Linked DNA regions of Mytilus edulis. The protein of the gene in region 2 purifies or fractionates together with the protein of the main gene of each other region. This does not show direct contact. Links are inferred from orthologs where the notes say so. Each region holds a gene or a part of one and is shown on either strand. Other genes may lie near its edges. The genes, in order: 14-3-3 protein epsilon-like and 3-phosphoinositide-dependent protein kinase 1-like.

Evidence for each region.
Region 1: the proteins of 3-phosphoinositide-dependent protein kinase 1-like (region 2) and 14-3-3 protein epsilon-like purify together in Homo sapiens (affinity purification with mass spectrometry; 3 studies listed by BioGRID and IntAct, with this or other methods). This does not show direct contact. The link is inferred for Mytilus edulis from reciprocal best matches to the Homo sapiens genes PDPK1 and YWHAE.

The regions. Positions count from the first base shown.
Region 1 is NC_092349.1:66,416,275-66,426,860, forward strand, and holds the start of 14-3-3 protein epsilon-like, read right to left. Parts: upstream 4,008-10,586; 5' UTR 3,837-4,007; coding exon 3,773-3,836; intron 1-3,772. UniProt on the Homo sapiens protein: Adapter protein implicated in the regulation of a large spectrum of both general and specialized signaling pathways. Binds to a large number of partners, usually by recognition of a phosphoserine or phosphothreonine motif.
Region 2 is NC_092352.1:32,966,521-32,977,333, reverse strand, and holds the start of 3-phosphoinositide-dependent protein kinase 1-like, read right to left. Parts: upstream 4,131-10,813; 5' UTR 3,982-4,130; exon of another isoform or gene 3,949-3,981; intron 1-3,948. UniProt on the Homo sapiens protein: Serine/threonine kinase which acts as a master kinase, phosphorylating and activating a subgroup of the AGC family of protein kinases.

The DNA.
Region 1 (10,586 bases), on a different chromosome or scaffold from region 2:
TGTTTAGATTCAGCATATCAAAGAGGCCCAAGAATTCAATTTTTGTTAAAATCAAACTTAGTTTAATTTTGGACCCTTTGGACTTTAATGTAGAATTTGAAATTTGAAAACAGGACCAAAAATGAAGAATCTACATACACAGTTAGATTTGGCATATCAAAGAACCCCAAGGATTCAATTTTTGATGAAATCAAACAAAGTTTAATTTTGGACCCTTTGGACCTTAATGTAGACCAATTTGAAAACTGGACCAAAAAAACTTCAATAATCAAGAATCTAAGTACATTTTTAGATTCAACATATCAAAGAACCCAACCGATTCATTTTTTGTCAAAATCAAACTAAGTTTAATTTTGGACCCTTTGGACCTTAATGTAGACCAATTTGAAAACGGGACCAAAAGTTGAGAATCTACATATACAGTTAGATTCGGCATATCAAAGAACCCCAATTATTCAATTTTGATGAAATCAAACAAAGTTTAATTTTGGACCCTTTGGGCCCCTTTTTCCTAAACTGTTGGGACCAAAACTCCCAAAATCAATACCAACCTTCCTTTTATGGTCATAAGCCTTGTGTTTAAATTTCATAGATTTCTATTTACTTATACTAACATTATAGTGCGAAAACCAAGAAAAATGCTTATTTGGGTCCCTTTTTGGCCCCTAATTCCTAATCTGTTGGATCCTAAACTCCCAAAATAAATACCAACCTTCCTTTTGTGGTCATAAACATTGTGTTTAAATTTCATAGATTTCCATTTACTTAACCTAAGGTTATTGTGCAAAAACCAAGAAAAATGCTTATTTGGGCCCTTTATTGGCCCCTTATTCCTAAACTATTGAAACCAAAACTCCCAAAATCAATCCCAATCTTTCTTTTGTGGTCATAAACCTTGTGTCAAAATTTCATAGATTTCTATTAACTTAAACTAAAGTTATGGTGCGAAAACCAAGAAAATGCTTATTTGGGCCCTTTTTGGCCCCTTATTCCTAAAATGTTGGGACCAAAACTCCCAAAATCAATACCAACCTTCCTTTTATGGTCATAAACCTTGTGTTAAAATTTCATAGATTTCTATTCACTTTTACTAAAGTTAGAGTGCGAAAACTAAAAGTATTCGGACGGCGGACGACGACGACGACGACGCAGACGCCAACGTGATAGCAATATACGACGAAAATTTTTTCAAAATTTGCGGTCGTATAAAAACTTTAACCTCAGAGTGAACGTCTTGTTTCCAGGCAGAAAAACTAAGTCCATTTATAAGTAAAACACAGAATGGAATTTTTACAAAATTTACTGCTGAATACTATCTTATAATCATATACTTGCTTCTGTTTAAGTTTAGTACAAATCCAGGATAGTTTTAGAAAGTTATTTAAATTTCAAAAACTTTTAACAGAGTGAATATTTGTGACGGAATGTTGGATTGCTAGGTCTTGCTTTTTCATATAATTTTATTTAAGATGCATATGTTAGTGATAAATTTGTCCTGGTAAAATATGTCTGGGCGGACAAACATTACTAGTATAATAAGTCCATGGTTACAGAATTTACTAGTATATCTAGTCCAATGTTAGTAATATATGTCCCCAGACTAATTTTCCTAAGTAATCATGTCCTTTAATTTAAAATCATATAATAAATTCAATTACATTTAAACCATGGAAATTTAAATGTTATGTTTTAGTAATGTTTAAGAATTGCATAGTTATATTTTTGATAAAATTCATGTCCCCAGACTAATTTTCCTAGGAAATCATGTCCATGTCATTAATAGTTCTAGGTTAAAATGTCTTTGCCCTTAATTTTAAAAGGTGAATATAAAATTATAAATGTAATATGTTTTAATATTGTTAAAGAGTTGTATGTATCAAATTCATGTCCCCAGACTAATTTTCCTAGGAAATCATGTCTATGTCATTAGTATTCCTAGGTAAAAATGTCCATGTCTTTTATTATAAAAGAAAATGTTATAAGCAATGGGAATTCAATATTCATGTTTTAATTAGGTTATAAAGAAAATGTCCTTCATTTTAATTGGAAAAAAATAAGGAAATTCTCCAATCTTATCTAACATTTTTTTCATCTATTTTAAATATATTTTATGATTTAATAAAACTCTAAAGAAAAACAAGTCTTAGGACAATTTTTCCTAGAAAAACAAGTGCTAGACATAATTTACTAGCTATGGACTTATTTTCCTAGGAACATTTGTCCTAGGACTTATATTACTAGTAAAATCATGGACATGAACTTGATTAAGTAGGAAAATAAGTCTGGAGGACAAATTTTACTACCGGACCAAATTTACTGTTACACTTATGGCCTGTAGAGATGATTTTACAAGCCTTGGATGCAGAGTCTGTGGCCATGTGTGAAGACTATGTTGGGGTATGTAGGGATACCAGAAATCTTTTTATTTTGTAATAAAGCAACAGTTTAAGCTCTATAGACTTCCTAGAATTAATAATGAAAGGGGTGTTTTATGTTCATTGGGATACAAAAGTGCATAGTGAAGACTTTTAGAGCTTACAAAATAAAAAATAGGTTTGGTTCCTGTTACATACCGCAATAATAGTCAGTTGATCATGATTTATATTTTGCCTGCCTGCATTGATTTTTATGAGCATTTTTTAAAGGTTAAACTGTCAGCGCCATAAATGTTTCCTTTAGAGTTTATGGTTCGATTTTATCAACCAAAAGATAAGCTCACTTACTCAAGTTGGCATTTTAAAGTTAGCTGGCCAATATTACCAATAAGATCGTAACAACTTCTGGACAACTCTGCATTACATACATGTATGGGGTGGAAGCGACAGACTAGTATAACAGCGAACAAAAATGGTATCCAAGACCAGTTTTTGGTTGAACAATCATTGAGTGAACTTCTTTTGGGCCTTAGATAGTTACCAAATAGTTGTTTCATCAATGTTTATTAGAAAAGATGGTGACAAACCCAATAAAGGGTAATCAGACGTTTTATTGGACTACATGTATATACAATGGCAGATTTTTGACAGGACATATTTCCGGACTGGCTGTATGTCTATGGATGCATTATTTATAGAACATCACACCATTGAAATAGTAAATCAGTATTTTGGGATAGTAAAAATTTGCAGATTAGGTTTCTACCAAGGCCACTCCTTCAAGTTTTATTTCCTATATTATTACAATCAAAAGTTATAACTTGTCTGCAGGTGGATTGAACATTATCATATCATACACATGCAAGGAAAACTCGTTGAATTATGAGCAGTCAGAAGGGTAGACCATTTAACATTAAATGATATGTCTGGGAGTTTAAAAGAATAACTGTTCAAATGTGTAATACATTTCAAATGGTTTTCAAATGTACACCATTGCAAAACAATATATAATTGTAGATTCAACTTCAAGAAACCTAACGATACATGGACGTTGTGCATATTTTACATTTATTTAGAACAGTTTACTGGCATTTAATATTCAAAATCTGCATTTAGAAACAACTAGAATCACCCAAAATGGCGACCGTCAGTGTCATGTCAATATCCATGGACACAACTGCAAATATTATCCTCTACGGACAAAAACAGTTTAAAACATTTACCAGTAAAGTATTAAACATGACATGCAATCAGAAAATCAGACATAAAGGTAAATAAGAGGCATACAATAGAAGTTTTAACTGCTTCCTCGTCTTAAATTATGCGAGAGGAAGTAATGCAAGATAGCCGACATATTTTGATTGAATCGTTGACATGTATCGTAAACGAATAAATACCATCATATCTCTCGGCCTGTTCAGCCAACTTGGCCATGTAAACTAAATCCTCTCTATCAGCCATTTCGATGACCACAATTTAGCAAAGATTCAGAAAGATTGTAAATTACTATCGTAAACTGTTCTAAAATGGCCGATGCCGCCAATGAAAGTAGTTCCTTACTAACGGTTGTATCCATGCGCGGGAACAAGCCCATTCATGATTAATTCATTTACTCACCGTTTGCACACGGACGTAGTACGATATATTAATAATTTTACGATTGTCAATTTGTGACCTTGACTTCAATATGAATGCAAAAAATGTACAAATTTAGTCATTTATGTCAAAAAATCTTTTTTCAAAACAAAGTAATTTATTGAAAGATCATAAAAAGCAACTAGACACAACATTTTCTTACATATAATACTGATTTTTTTTCGCTTCTTGCTGTTCACAGTTTCTTAAATTTTTATGAACAAATACGACGCAGCGATTGACTAAGGGAGGAGGTTGCGTTAACTAGGTTGTCAGCTAGAATGTCTATTTCGTGAAAGACCCTCTGAAAATATGCAGCCGGCGTTTTGTAGGTCAAAATTAACGCATTAACTTGAAAAATCACTGAGCAGATGGAAAACATTGCGGAGAAGAAGTATTTTAAATAAATGTGTTAGTCAGATCATTGTCTGCTAAGCAATTCCGGTTCAAGCTGGTCGGCAAATTTTAGTCAATCTGATTAATCAGATCATAAGTCAGTTGTCATACAACATATGTGTCTTTAAATTAATATTGATCAATATTCTCGTGTCATTTCAAGGCAACTCAGTTTAATACGGTCCAGGCTATCTACAATCGTACAATTCAGGGAAATAATCTCTTCGAGAATGCAGTTTTGTCATAGCGGCTATATTTCAATGAAATGCTGAATTTATTTTAAGAAAATACCGAATTCTGAGGATTTTGCATAAAAAGAAAGGGGTTTAAGTATGCATTTACCATAGTATCCATGATTATGTAATCCTAGCTTTAAAGGTTTCAGTTTATTTAGGGAACAACCTCTGTCCGAACCCAACCCGCCTCTGAACTTCCATATTCCGTAATTAGAGGCAGATTTAGGGGTAGCCGTTGTGGAAAACAAATGGCTTATCATACACTATTCATAAATTAATGGGAGCGTGTCTCCTATTTGGAAGTCTTTGCTCTCCATTTTATGCTTGAAAATATCATGCAGGATTTGCCACGATTAATGACCGCCTGAAACTCTTTATTTTGGCTATTTTTATGACCGCCTTAAACGGCGCTGATTTTTTGGGCTATTTTTATGACCGCCTTAATTGCATTTTTTATATGTTATACATGTAAGCCTCAAATCTGTGTCCAGCCTAAAAAATGTGTCCTTCCCTCAGATCTGTGGCCCCTTCCATATTGCATCATAGACTTGCACCATATAGACGCCACAGGTCTATGTCATTGCTTTCCCTCAAATTCTGTTCTTTTCGTGAAACAAGTCATACATTGTCCTATGTGTTTCCGCAGGAAATTATCAGAGTCATACATGTATACATGTATATCCGTTAAATTGTCAAAGCATAGTGAGAAATATCGAGCCATGTTGGGTGCAAAGAAAATCATGGATGAGCTAAAAGTAGAATTTTTTAACATAATGGTAAAAGTTTGTTTGTCATTAGAGTTATGACTCAGATTTGAAGAAGAAAAAAACAGAGGATCGATAGCGGAGCCTGTGTCACTCACCTTAAAGTCTATGTGCATATTCAACAAAGGACATTCTACAACATTATAGACGAGAATAAAATTCATGACAAAAAATTCTGTTATGTTGATCTTGAATTGTATCGCTAATCATTCAGTCTGGTTTAGTTTCTCTCTTTCTTAATTCTTACGTTTTTGCTTACAACACTGACAAAAGAGGGGTCAACAGTCCTCTTTTAAGGGCAATTTCTCCTATAAATTTATTTATGAAATGCACATTTATACCCCTGGGGGTTGAAGGTATATACAAAAAATACAATACAATATACACAATGGAAATTTAACATATTAAACATCATATATAAAGTGGTAAAACAGTAATATTCAGTATGCAGGCGTTGTGTCCACTCCCCTCAGTGCAAATGACTTTTTAATGAACGGAACAGTAAGCTGCATAATATCAAATGAAGATAGAATTAATTGTTATCTGTCTGTTTCAGACAATTTAAAGTATTCTGGACATATATTATTTATATCTTTTTCAAGCTGCTTACGTAAAGATTTATTAATTTTACATTTTAAGAAAAAAGAAGGACAGTCTACTATCTAATTAAAAACCGATCTCTCATCGCTCCCGTTTTCTGATATTGAGAGATCAGGTTTTAATTAGATTGGACAGTCTATTAATTTCGTTACACAGCAAAATTTGACTTGTTAGTTCTTGACTTGCTGATAATTTTTGTGATTTAAAATGTCTTTTTATCTATTACAATCTTAACCATATAAAAGACAAAATGCCAAAAAAAATTGGTAAAAATCGTTGTCAATGGACAATAACGCCAATAAGGAGTGGTCAAATTTTTTCCCCTATATTGTCTTAATTTAAGTTCTTGGCCTACTGATAATTTTTGCTTATTTACGTTGATATGGCGAAAACGCAAAAAAATGGTAAAAATCGTAATTAAAGGGCAACAACTTTAATAAGGCGTCGACAGACGATTTCCACTAGATGATGATTTGTAGAACTTGTTTTGCTGATCATGTTTGCAATTTAAAGCTTCTCTTTTCTATTATAGTTTTCAAGATAATAGGCAATATTTAAATGAAAAAGGTAAAGAATTGTCACAGGACAATAACTCATAAAAGAAGTCTTCTGGCATATTTGACGTATTTGGACTGTAGGGCGTATGGCATTAGCGCCGAATAAAAAAAAAACAATCTTCCATTTGCGCCGATTTCATATTTGCGCTTAGTTGCATTTATATTTTAACATAAATAGGCGAGTAAATACTTGTGCATGCACTATACATTGAATGTAGTTTAATCTAATCCTACTTCCATCTCCCTGGAGTGAGGGGACAACAGTTATATATGTAATTCATAACATTTGTACAACTGGCTAACGGAAGAGGCCGTATAATCACTGGTGGTAAGCAGATGGTCGTAACTTAAAGTTACGACCATCCGAAGATGGGAGACAACTCTAGGGATACATTTTTCTTTTCCAATTTTCGTGCAGTAAAAAAATGTTTCAGTAAAACCGCTTGTCTCATACATACTAATCGTCAGTGCGTTGATATTGAAACAAAATTTGATACATAAAAACATTCCAATTTTCGTAAAATGATCATTCAATAATTCGAGCATGATGGTCGTAACTAAAAAAACAAAAATGTTCAGGATGGTCGTAACTTAAAATTGTGATGGTCGTAACTCTTTATTAAATAGGACCTAATAAGACAAGTCAATAGTTTTAAACGTGTCTTTTGTTATATGAATATATTATATGATATATTTGTGAAGTTGATTTCACTAAATGATAAAAACTAATAGAGGTGAAGAGAGGGATACCTGTAAAGTGCGAAAGGAAAGAAAATTGGAACGAATCGAAAAAAAAAACCAATACAAAATGAAATGACCAGTCACTGTTACTTAAAATATAATGTATAAAATCAACCAAGAGGCAACTAATTATAAGCTGTTAAGTTTAATAACAATATAAATTCTCAAAAGTGGAGAATTCATTTTAACACACAGCTCTTGTTATGATCATTCTTAGTTACGAATTAAGAAAAGGCGATTTTTAACAAATTTGACATCACATGAAATAACAGTATCCTGATTTATTTTCTTTATATTTTGCATGGATTGAAAAGATAAACTTTTTAAAAACTAGTATGTACCTACTAGGTGGAATTTAAAAGAAAAATCTACAATTTAAAATTGATACTTTAAGTCGAAAGAGCATAAGTAAGGAGTCAAAATAATGTTATGGGGATCGTTGGAGACCATATCCGCGAATTCGCAGGTCCGTAATTGAATTAAACAACATACATCTTATTCTTAGCCTGGATTTTGAGAAGTCGTATTGTCATTTGGTATATAGTCAAGCTGATTATAAGGTGCAAATTCGAAGTTCAGGTATAATTATTACCCGTGGTTTTTGAAAATTCTGAATACGCCTATTGGTACCATGCTATCCGTTATACATCTTTATCTTTCTTATGAAAAATACCAGGAACCCTGGACCAAACGTTTTTTATTCCCAATTCATAAAGGGAATGATGCATCCGATCTTAATAACTACCGAGGAATTACAATTACTGATTCATTGAGGAAGCCTTTTTAATAAGATACTTGATACACGTCTTTGTAAATCCTTAGATAAATATCATATCATTGATGAGAGCCAAATTGGGTTTATCAAAAAAAAAAAAAAAAAAAAAAACATGACCGGTACCATCTGACCATATGTTCATTCTAAAAACTATTATAAATAAGTATTGTAATACAAAAGAAGGTAGAATGTTTGCTTGCTTTGATGATTTCCAGAAGGCTTTTAATACTGTCATTCTCCCAGGGATAAAACTTAAGCTATTGAATATAGTTAGAGAGTATGGTAAGAGATCTCTTTAGAACTAAAGTTGGAGTAAAACAGGGAGACAATTTGAGTCCAAATTTGTTTAAAAGTTTTATAAATGAACTTCCTGATTGTGTTAAAAGTTCCCCTGATCCAGCTGTCGTTTATTCACGACCAGCCTATTCTTTACTATACATATGCTGATGATCTTGCCATTTTACTACTTCAGCAAAAGGACTTCAAAGTAAACTTGATGGATTAAGATCGTTGTTTGAAAATTAATCCCAATAAAACCAAGCCATAGTATTTAACAAGACAGGCAGACATATCAAACATGATTTTTTTATTTTAAAAACAGGCGTTAAAAGCCTACCATAAGCTACGCAAGGACTTTCTGTCACTGAATTCAAGTTTAAAAAACAGCCTTCATGTTTTTGAGCATACAATATAATGCACCTATTCTCCAGGGGCGGGTCAAAAATTCTGAAAGCAAATATTCAACAATTTTATGCCTTAACGTACAGTAAAAATATATTAATACTCAACCCTAACATACTATTTGGCTTAATGTGAGTTGATTAGTTTTCACTGTTTCTCCTAAACGATGGTCGTTTGGAACATATCAAAAATGTATGATTGATAATTCTTTAACTTAATTTCTGCATACCATTATCAGAGTAACAAATGAAATAATATTTTTTGTAGTAAACTTTATATAACAACTGAGTTTATTAACATGGTTATGCATGTGCACAGTACTTTTAAAATAACTTGATAAAAGTTCGTCTAAATACTTGAGTTACGGTCATCTCTCAAAGTTACGACCATCTTGTGTCGGTTACGACCATCATCCAAAATACTATAGTTGACATTACGACCATCATGCTCGAATTTTTGAATGACTATTTTACGAAAATTGGAATGATTTTATGTGTCAAATTTGGTTTCAATAAGAATGCACTCACATATGTGTATATGAGACAAGCGGTTTGACTCAAATGAACCTTTTACTGCACGAAAATCGGAAAAGAAAAACTTACCCCTATAGTTGTCTCCCATATTCAGATGGTCGTAACTTTTAGTAACTTTTAGTTACGACCATCCGCTTACCACCAGTGATAATGATAAATAGAAAATAACATTCACCTGTAAGTTACCTGTAAAAATAATCGGCGCAAATAAAAAAAAATCAGCGCAATTGAAAAAAAAAAATCAGCGCAAATGAAAGAAAAAATCGGCGCAAATTCAAACGCCGGACTATATATATATATATATATTTGAAGAGCAAAACACTCTGAACGTTTGCGCCCATATTTCTGTATTTATAACGGGTTTCAAATAGTAGACAAAACTAAGTAAATGGTTTATTACAAATTGGGAAAAACATTGATGATATCAGGCTTACTAAAATAATAATAATGAACATCAGACGGGAGTTCCCAGTGGCGGATCCAGAAATTTTCATAAGTGGGGGCCCACTGACTGACCTAAGAGGGGGCCCGCTCCAGTCACGCTTCATTGATTCCCTATATAAGCAACCAAATTTTTTCCCCAAAAGGGGGGGGGGGCGGGCCCCCTGCCCCCTAAATCCACCTCTGGTTCCGTCTATAAAAGACTCATCAGTATCGCTCTAATCATAGAAGGTTTTAAGCCAAATGAAATACGAAGTAAGCCAACAATACGGACGTCCCAAAAATCCCCTATCTAATTAAGATTAAATCCTTGAATTGCTCTTGTCCCTGATGCGCGACATATCAGAACAAGAGCAATTCAAGGATTTAATCTTAATTAGATTGAAAAATCCCCGAAAGGTTTTGCCAAATGGTGCTAAGGTAAAAGAGGGGCGAAAGATACCCTCGGGGACGATTTGACGGTCCGTCAAATCGTCCCCGAGGGTATCACCAGCCCTAAACTGGTCCGCCGTTCTATCTATAGCTTTGCACCGAAGGAACGGGTTGGTGCCATTGTCAAATTGGCATTAATTGGACGAATTTTACAAATTCAACGATTCGCTAATAAAATTGACCAATTAAAGTGATAGGAAACTGACCTCAAATGTTAATACTGTGATGCCGCAAAATAAATAAGTATCTGTTAATTAACCCCATGGTAGTAGCGCAGATAAATGACAAACACGCGTGTTAACATGTTCTTGACAAACTGAGCCGGTATCTTTTATTCCCTTAAGAACTCAGTAGGGTTATAAATGTGCTAATTTCTTGTTTTATTTCCTATCAGTATAACACATAATAAACATAGCACAT
Region 2 (10,813 bases):
TCAATTTTGGACCCTTTAGACCTCAATGTGGACCAACTTATAACCTGGCCCAAACATCAAAATTTAAATACATGGTTAGATTAAGCATATATCAAAGAACCCCATACATACCATTTTTATTGAAATTAAACAAAGTTTAATTTTGGACCATGATTTGGACCAACTTGAAAACTCGGCCCATAATAAAAATAATTATAAGTACATGTTTAGATTCAGCATATCAAAGAACCCCAAGGATTCAATTTTTGTTGAAATCAAACAAAGTTTAATTTTGGGCCACGATTTGGACCAACTTGAAAACTGGGCTCATAATAAATAATATAAGTACATGTTTAGATTCAGCATATCAAAGAACCCCAAGAATTAAATTTTTGTTAAAATCACACTTAGTTTGATTTTGAAACCCTTTGGACCTTAATGTAGACCAATTTGAAAATAGGACCAAAAATTAAGAATCTACATACACAGTTAGATTCGGCATATGAAAGAACCCCAATAATTCAATTTTTGATGAATTCAAACAAAGTTTAATTTTGGACCCTTTGAGCCCCTTATTCCTAAACTGTTGGGACCAAAACTCCCAAAATCAAACCCAACCTTCCTTTTGTGTTTATAAACCTTGTGTTTAAATTTCATTGATTTCTATTTACTTATACTAAAGTTATTGTGCGAAAACAAAGAATAATGGTTTTTGGGCCCTTTTTGGGCCCCTAATTCCTAAACTGTTGGGACCAAAACTCCCAAAATCAATCCAAACCTTCCTTTAGTGGTCATAAACCTTGTGTCAAAATTTCATAGATTTCTATTTACTTATAAACTAAAGTTATAGTGCGAAATCCAAGAAAATGCTTATTTGGGCCCTTTTTGGCCCATAATTCCCAAACAGTTGGGACCAAAACTCCCAAAATCAATCCCAAACCTTTCTTTTATGGTCATAAACCTTCTGTTTAAATTTTATAGATTTCTATTCACTTATACTAAAGTTAGAGTGTGAAAACCAAGTCTTCGGACGCCACCGCTGACTATTGCAATTGTTCTTCTATTGTAAATTCCGCCAATTACGGAGCACTCAAAAGTCCGATTTTTATATCATTTTTCTTAAATTGAAATCTGTTTTGACTAACTTTAATATTGATATTATTAGATAAGCTCAACATGAACTATACGGAGATGCTTGTTGAATTGATTATAACCTTTCACAGTTGAATAACAAACTTATTTGTTGAATTAAGCTATTTCTGAAGATCGAAATAAAGACATTTGTCTCATTGACACTCTTATTTAAATTCACAACCAAACCTACTCAATTTTCAATGTAAAGATTACCCCACTCTCCCTATCTCCTTTCAGTAATGATGGAAATAAGACCCCTGAAATTGTAATTGAGACAGCCAAAACTTTATACAACCACAAATACAAGCAAATGAAGCAACTCAAGAAAATCCTAACCATGCTTACCCTCCACACGAACAAGAAATCCTAGTGGGAAACACAAAGTTGGTATAAATAATAATTGGTTGAAACAGTATTCCTGGTTACATTTTGACAAAGACTTTAGTTAGGATGGAGCATTAGTTGATGTCATGCTTTGCAAAGTTTGTAACCAGCATCAATCACACGGAAGTAATGGTAGTCAGACATGGTCTACTGTAGGTTATAAACTGTTGCGCAAAGATAAGATACAAATCCATCAAGATCGTGAACATCATAAATGTGCAATAACTTTAGATATGGCACACACCCTTGATGACATGGCTTCTAATATGTCTCCTGGTGCACAAAAAGCAGTGAAGGATGCTCTGTAAGTTTTATTTTTTATTCTGCACCACTTGACATATTTGGATCAACAGTTGACAAAACACAGACATTAACAAAAATATTAACTGTAAAATTAAACTGTGATGAAGTTAAATTTGAAAAAATTCTTGATCAATGTGTGACAACCTTCTTCAAAAAGAAAAACAGAAAACTTGTCAATGTCTTTTTATATTTCTTTGCATTTGAACTCTTCTTTGAAAAAATCTGTAGTTCTGGAAGAGAAATGAATATAGTAATGACTATTAGTGCTCTCAGTTTGATTTTAACTTATAAATTCTAAATAAATGATTTTTAAACTAGTATATAATAGTATAGACTGTTGAACTTAGCTACATGCTTGCTAAAAATATGTCATAATGTGGTTATATTAAGTATTTGATTTTTTTCAGTGAGAACGTGCTTAAGTGCCCTTTTTTAAAAACCCGCCACTCATTTTCAAATTCTAGCTGGAACACTGTCATAGGACTAAATAAATCGATATGGAGCACACAATAAACAACTAACATAAACATTAGCCACAAAGCAGATATAAGAGTACACTAAGTTACAAAAGTAGTTCAAAGCCAAAAGCAGCATGTAAAGAAATCAGGTTATCCCCACTAATACATCAGAGTGGAAAGATGTAACATCGGGAATTCCACAAGGCTCAGTATTAGGTCCCCTGTTATTTGTTCTATACATAAATGATTTGCCAGATTGCGTGACATCAGATGCCTACTTATTCGCAGATGACACAAAAATCTTTAGAATTATTGAAAGCAAAACAGATCAAACTATATTGCAAGATGATCTAAAAAATCTCGAGAAATGGAGTGATACATGGCTGTTGAAGTTCCATCCAGAAAAATGCAAACACATAAATATAAGTAGAGGGGTAAGAGAAGAAAAGACAAGTTACAAACTATTAGGTCATGATATAAGTAAATGTCAAGAAGAGAAAGATATTGGAGTAGTAATTGATGAAGATCTAACCTTTGAAAGACACATATGCGAAAAAGTGAACAAAGCTAATTCAACTTTTGCCGCAATTAGAAGGACATTTAAAAACTTAAACGAAAAAATCTTCATACCTCTATACAAAACATTAGTGCGAACACACTTAGACTATGCTAGCTCTGTATGGTCACCTTTTAAAAAGAAATCCATCGACAAAATCGAAAATGTACAAAAAAGGGCAACACGACAGATACCAGGATTCAATAAACTGAGCTACCCGGAAAGACTGAAAAAACTGGCAACATTGTAATATAGAAGGGTTCGAGGGGACATGATTGAGACATATAAGATACTAAATGGTAATTACGATCCAGAAACGAGTTCTTTCCTTAAATTAATTTCAAGCACTGAAAATAGACATACATTGTAGCACAAGAGTAAACTGTTTCACTAAACAGTAATAAAATCATTCACCAACGATTCAAAACAAGTCTGAGGAAAACAGTTTTTCTGTAAGAATAGCCAAATTATGGAACAAGTTACCAGATAAAGTAACTAAAGCGCCATCTATAAACTCATTCAAAAATAGACTAGATAGATACTGGGAGTACGAAGAAATCTATTGTTCTGATTATCGAGCTGAATTAACTGGAAGCAGCATCAGAAATAATGGAGACAATATTCAATTATATGAGTCTGGTGAAGAGGAACCGTGAGGATCCTGTACCGGAAAACATCATTAAGTAAGTAATACACCTTATTCTATTGGTTCCCTTTGACTGGGCATCACAAAAGTTCCCGTAAAATTGTGACGTTATAATAGAAACTATCTGACATGACAATGGAAAAGTGATTGTTGTTTGACATCAAAAGTTAGAGGAAGACAGATTTTTTGGTCAAGTAGGACAAATTTCTAAATAACCATAAAGTGTATCAGACACTAAAGTATCAAACTGTACACATCCAACAGATTTAGTGAAAGTTATCCATGTGCTATACAAATTTGTCAGTCCAAACTTCAAATTTACAATGAAAATCTTTGCATATTTATCTTTTTAATGGAAAGGGAAATGAAACAAAAAGTCACACCCTTTGAAAGAGTACTGTCATCAAAATTATTCATTATACAGATATTGGGAATGGACATTTGTTTGGGTGTATGCAAAATTCACTGTTAAAACAACGTAAAATCACCCAAAATGATTGTGGTATGGATCATTCAATTACCAGTTAGAAACACATATCTGTTATCGCAAAGTAAGTCTAAATACAAAGTTAATTCACTTTCTTTAAAATTTCAACCCGGCATCTTCTTATTTTTGTCAAATCCGGAAGTTGAAAGGTAACCAAACGCAAGCGCATTTGCGCAAGATCTGATGAACATCCTTATTGCATCGGCTTTTCAATGTTTTGGAGAAATACATAATTCAAACAATAGTATGCATAAAGTAACTTATAATTCAACTTTCATTTAGCATTTATATATCAGATATTCACAAAACAAATTTGTATCTATTTATAGCATTTACAACATCCGGGACTTTCGTGAATGGCGGATGACAGAACCTATTTCCGGAATCAAATGTGAGGTTGTTTTTCATACGAGAAACAAGATCTACAAAAGACAATAACTTGTCAATTGCCTGATCTGATTGCCAATAAATCTAAAGTACTAGGTAATGTTACAGATGCCATAAGTATTTACCATGTAAATAATTTACAGCAAATTTTGTCACTGTTTTTGCAACTGTCTGAACTCAGAAACATAACTTTATCTCTTGTGTCTATATTCCTAAAGCCATTTCATTTGATAGTACGAATTTGGTAGGTTCTGTGAAGGTAGTTACCTGTTTCTTCTTTTAAAACCAAACCTATCCTGGTAGGCTGATACTAGTTGATAGTGAAATTATCCAACTTGTAGCCTCCATCAGAACACAAGTTGTTTACAATGAGCCTTGAAAACAGATGCACCTGAATCTGGGTACCTTCAGCAAAATCTAGTTTACTCACATTCAGGTTTACTCCCTTCACTTTTGCATCCAAATTATACATGACCTCTTTTTAAAGGTTTTGTGTTGTATCATAAATTTCTTATGCACCCGCCCAGGAACATACATTGTATATTGACAGGACTTGACGCTACCAAATTATAGCTGATTTTATCATCAGAACATATTCAATAAAGATGCAATACAGAAACTGACATGTGTTAGAAAAGTACTCGCTATTACCCTAATAGTTTCTGGTGATATCAATAAAATGTCATTCAAATATATACATGTACACTGTAGTTTTAAAGTGATGCCAGAGTATCAGACTTGTTATCTGTCACTTCAAATTTGTTATAATCGAATTCATTTCTGCACAGAATGGAGACAGGATAATTAAAAAATGGTGCTGATTGCATTCCCAAATTCTCACATTTTAAAACATTTCACATCAAATAAATCACACTTATTTATTTACTATTAATTTGCAATATGCAGGGTTTTCCATTCATTTTGGCCTAACAGGCCAAAATGAATAAGTAGGCGGTCAATGGAAAGACATTCATTGAAATCTAGATTCAAAATCCTGGCATCTGGTGAATTTTAAGACAGTATTTCATGCTGGTCAAATTGACATACTACCAGCAGAACTTTTTTTCTAAATAAATTTGTCTGCACAATTTTAAGAGTTTGAATACTGCTATAATTTAAACATTGACAAAATTGAGTATACTGTTCAAATTCTGTATTGGATACAGCAATTTTATTTATTAGAAATTTTAATTATAGATAGGATGCACACTTTATTCTATATAATCATGTCTTGCTTTTGTTTTGAAATAATTTTGTAATATATTTAAGTTGTAATAGAAATACAAATAAAAGAATGAAAATCTTCTTGTTTTTAGAACTCATAGACTTTAGACAACACAACATGATGTGTAAAAAATAATGATTTGTAAATATTCCTTTATCGTTGGAAATTTTCCATATTTTCTTGAAGTATTCAGGCCTGTTGGGTCATATCAAATCAGGAGATAAACAATGTATTCCATGTCTCCCAATATAGAGACATCTCTAGATCTGGAGGCTGTCTCCCGATCGGGGAATATTGACTAGCTGTCGAATCTTCGATCCAGCGTAGTGCATTTGAACCAAATTGACAATTATGTCATCGATTCATTCGCGACTATTTATAAAACACAACAGAACAAATTGAAAAATAATGCATGCAAACGTTATAAATTGTTTTATCATAAAAATCCAAACCTTTGTGTCGCTTAGCGGGGAAAAAATCTGTGATGGAACGTTTCATCGTCAACAGTTCAACAAATGAAAGTTTTTAATGACCTTGACATTGCATGACTTGCATATATACTCGATATCTATCGGGATTTTTCTTATAAGTCTCTTTCGATGGATAACGACCATGTGTTCCGATAGAAATACAAACCGGAACTCTCAAACATAAATAAAACCTCTAGATAATAATAAAGTTACGACGTATAGAATAGTCGTATAAGTAAAATATGCACCTATTTTTTTTTGACTGATGACGATTGAACTGGCCAAATAACTGTTTGAAACGGTCAATTTGGCCAGCGGCCGGTTCTTATGGAAACACTGAATATACCAAAATTGTATTAGTCCTTTGCCAAATTTTGTTTGTTAGGACCTTGGACCACATTTTTAGTGGAAGAAGACGTCAAGTCTTCTGAAGACTTAAGGGGCCGACCATTGGCTTTGAGTCTCCGTATGCCGCATTCATTTCGTGTATTACAATTTCAAAACAACTTAGATTCCTGACACCGATTTTTATACATGATTGAGCATCTGAATCATTTAATTTGTAAATTATGATTGTAAAACAATCACTATCGTAAATATGACCCTTTTATTTATGTAAATTATTAGATTTCATCTCATCCACATGCACGTAATTTGTTTACTTGTAACAGGATGTTTTAACTGTAGATATTTGTATTACGCATGCGTGAATTTGGTATCGGTACAACTCACCCTGTTTACAAGTTCGCCCTTGAAGTTACGAATTTGCAATCCTGCAGACAAGAAGATTTTATTTTTATATAAATAAAAAGGATATATAAAGTGTTATCTTTATTCATGGGTTTCCTTTGTCATGTGAATTAGATGCCCTTCGTAACATACATGTGAACCTCCCGTTTAGGAGAAAAAACTCCCGTGTATGAAATTTTTCAGACGCCATATTTGATCATTTCTTACTACTGTACGGGTGTAATTGACACCTGTGTTAAATTTTACCTGAACATCAAAGAAGATGTATAATTATATGGCTTCACTTGACAGCTTGGGTGTCAAACATACTGGTAATCAACGATGTTTACCTCCGGCTAACTGCCGTTGTGTTATCAAAACGATGTGTATTGGGAATATTGAAATACTTTTTTGTTACTTCCCTTTGTTTTATCCTGTTTTCAGTTATTTTGCTTTTAAAAATGTAAATGGTAAAAAGACTATAAATGATTGATATTTTAATCAAATAATCATAAAAGGATGTTGATTAAATGAATTTAAATGATTTTGGACAAATAAAAAAATTAAAATTTATAAATTATTTTATTAATTTAGACCTCCTTTCAAGGATTAAATTGAAGTTTATATATTAAATTTGTTTATAACAGGTTTAAAGTCAACATATAATAAGTGCAACTAGGCTAATAGTCTAGCTTCTGCTAGCTTCACGTATAATTTTTCTACCAATTTAATATATAACTAGAATTATGCAAACAGACTTAAGGAAAAGGCATGTAAGTCATGTAAGTTCATACAAATATGACACTTTTTCTAGACAATCCAGATCTTGCAAAATACATCGCTAAAAATTGTAACCTTTAATTTTGTTGTTGTGCAGTAAAAACCCATATGGGAACTTTCAAAAGTTGGCAGGTATGTAACAAGTCTTACTATTTTTATGCTCCATTTATGGGCAATATGTTTTCTAGTCTGTCCGTCCGTCCTGCTTCTGGTTATAAAGTTTATGGTCGAGGTAGTTTTTGATGAAGTTGAAATCCAATCAACTTGAAACTTAGTACACATGTGTTCCTCTTGATATGATCTTCTTAATTACTGCCAAATTAAAGATTTTACCTAATTTTCATAGTCAACTGAACATAGAAAATGATTGTACGGATGGGAAATCCATGTACTTATGACCTTTTCTTGTTTGAAGAAAAAAAATACATTTTAACGATAATGGAACAAAGCAGCCTGGGTAAGTGGGGCTGCTTTTATGGTAATTCAAGTTACCTTTTATTCACCTTCTTCCACTTCAGAGCTATCAGCTCTTTGATTGGAGAACTTTGGTCTTGTGACATTGAAACTTTTTGTAGTTTACATTCATATTTATATTAAAGTTTATGATAAATATAAAAAAGAAGATTTGATATGATTGTCAATCAGACAACTCTCCACAAGAGACCAAATGACACAGAAATTAACAACTATATGTCACCATATTCGGTCAGTCTAAGATGGTTCTCTGATTTAAAGTATGGAGTTGTATTGGCATTTGCAAGTCTAATTTCCAGCATGTACAGTGTGCACCAAATCTTTTCTGACTGCTGGTTGGAAGACCTAGTTTTAAACATTTTTCTGAGTGTTTAAATAATGTTTTGTAAAAAATTACTATTCAGAATATTTTTTTTACTTGTCCAGGCATCTGACTAGTGGCTAAATGTACATACTAAATTTCAATTAAAATTGTGGGGTCTTTCTTGGCCCTCATACATGTTTCATTTGGATATTTTACATGTTAAAGTTTGCATTTATGTCTGCAGTTAAAAGAAAACTTCTGATGGATAGTTCATGATATTTGTCAAACAGTTATTTTAGTATTTTAGACATGGTTCATTGATTTTGAATATTAGCAATATTAAGTTTTTGTGGTTTGATTTATTTTTCAGATCCTACTACAATAGGCCCACTATATTTAGTGTATTGAATTATTGCATGTATATGTTGTCTGGCAGGGTTATTTAATATGACTTTGACTTAATTTTTATGGTTCATTAGTCATTGTTCAGTTTTCATTATTAGGTCTGTTTCTCTGTTCTGCCTTTTTATTTTTCACTCTATTAGGTCCTGGCATTTTTTATAAGTTAACCCTGATGTTTTTTTAACATAAACATGATAAATCTGTTTCTCAGATACTATAAGCAATAAGCTAACAATATTTGCTGTATGGTATGATTGTCCAAAGCCAGAACCTGCCATCCAGGGGTTTTTGGTGGTCACAGTTTGCCATATGTATCTTTTTTATATTGTATAAATGTAGACATTTGTTTTCTCTTTTTATTAGCTCACCTGGCCCGAAGGGCCAAGTGAGTTTTTTCTCATCACTTGGCGTCCGGCGTCCATCGTCCGTCATCCTGCGTCCGTCGTCGTTAACTTTTACAAAAATCTTCTCCTCTGAAACTGCTGGGCCAAATTTAACCAAACATGGCCAAAATCATTATTAGGGTATTTAGTTTAAAAATTGTGTCTGGTGACCTGCCCAACCAACCAAGATGGCCGCCATGGCTAAAAATAGAACATAGGGGTAAAATGCAGTTTTTGGCTTATCACTCAAAAACCAAAGCATTTAGAGCAAATCTGACTTGTAGAAAAATTGTTTATTAGGTCAAGATCTATCTGCCCTGAAATTTTGAGATGAATCGGACAACTCGTTGATAGGTTGCTGCCCCTGAATTGGTAATTTTAAGGAAATTTTGCTGTTTTTGGTATTATAGATAGAGATAAACTGTAAACAGCAAAAATGTTCAGCTAAGTAAGATCTACAAATAAGTCAACATGACCAAAATGGTCTGTTGACCCCTTTAGGAGTTATTGCCCTTTATAGTAAATTTTTAACCATTTTTCGTAAATCTTAGTTATCTTTTACAAAAATCTTCTCCTCTGAAACTACTTGACCAAATTAAACCAAACTTGGCCACAATCATCATTGTGGTATCTAGTTTAAAAATTGTGTCTGGTGACCCCGCCAACCAACCAAGATGGCCACCATGGCTAAAAATAGAACATAGGGGTAAAATGCAGTTTTTGGCTTATCACTCAAAAACCAAAGCATTCAGAGCAAATCTGACATGTGGTAAAATTGTTTATCAGGTCAAGATCTATCTGCAACAACAAAAGAAAGAGAGTTTTTAACAACCTCAGCTGGCTATAAAACCCTTGCACAATCAACTGAATTTTGCAGAAATCATTAATAGGATAGATTACCCTTATATGATAATTTTTTATTAGCTTTTTGTTTTTTTTTTGGCAAGGGGGGGGGGGGGGGTGCGCAACAACAAAACTACTTCACAACATTCTCATTACTTTGCATTTCTTGTTAGATAAATTTTACAAAAATTCTCCCCTGAAACAACTGTCGAATTTAAACAAACTTGGTTTAAATCACCACTAGGATATCCAGGGACCACTGTGTATGATGACCCTGCCTGCCCACATGGCTGAAATAAAACATAGGTTTCAAATGCACTTTTAAGTATTATATCTCTGAAACTAAACGACAGTACAACAGTTGCTTTTATCATGCAACAATTGTAAATTAAAATATCAGGTGAGCGACACAGGGTCCTTGGACCCTCTAGTTTTATTCACATTTAGTCACCAGGAGAATATAAAGTGGGTTTGATGATTTCCTAAATTGGATATCTGCTAATTTAAAATAAGATTTCTAAATCTGATTTGATTTTTTTTCAGTTGTTTTTGTCACAATATATAAAAAGGACTAGAAAGAACTTACCATGACTGGACACAGTTCCCTCATAAAGGTAAGAAAATTAATGTTTGCTCCACTTTACTATTAATTTAACTATGAATTTATTATTTAGTAATGATTGCAATGTTTTTATTAATGCCAAAAATGCAACAGTATCAGGTTTGAAATTATAAAAACTTGCATTCATAATTACATCTCAGTTTGTCAACTATTTTGTTACCCTACCCACTAATTGGTCCAGCTTCTTCGAATTAATGAGGAATGTAGCTGACCATCAGATTGCCTTTTTCTGTATTTTATGCAGAGA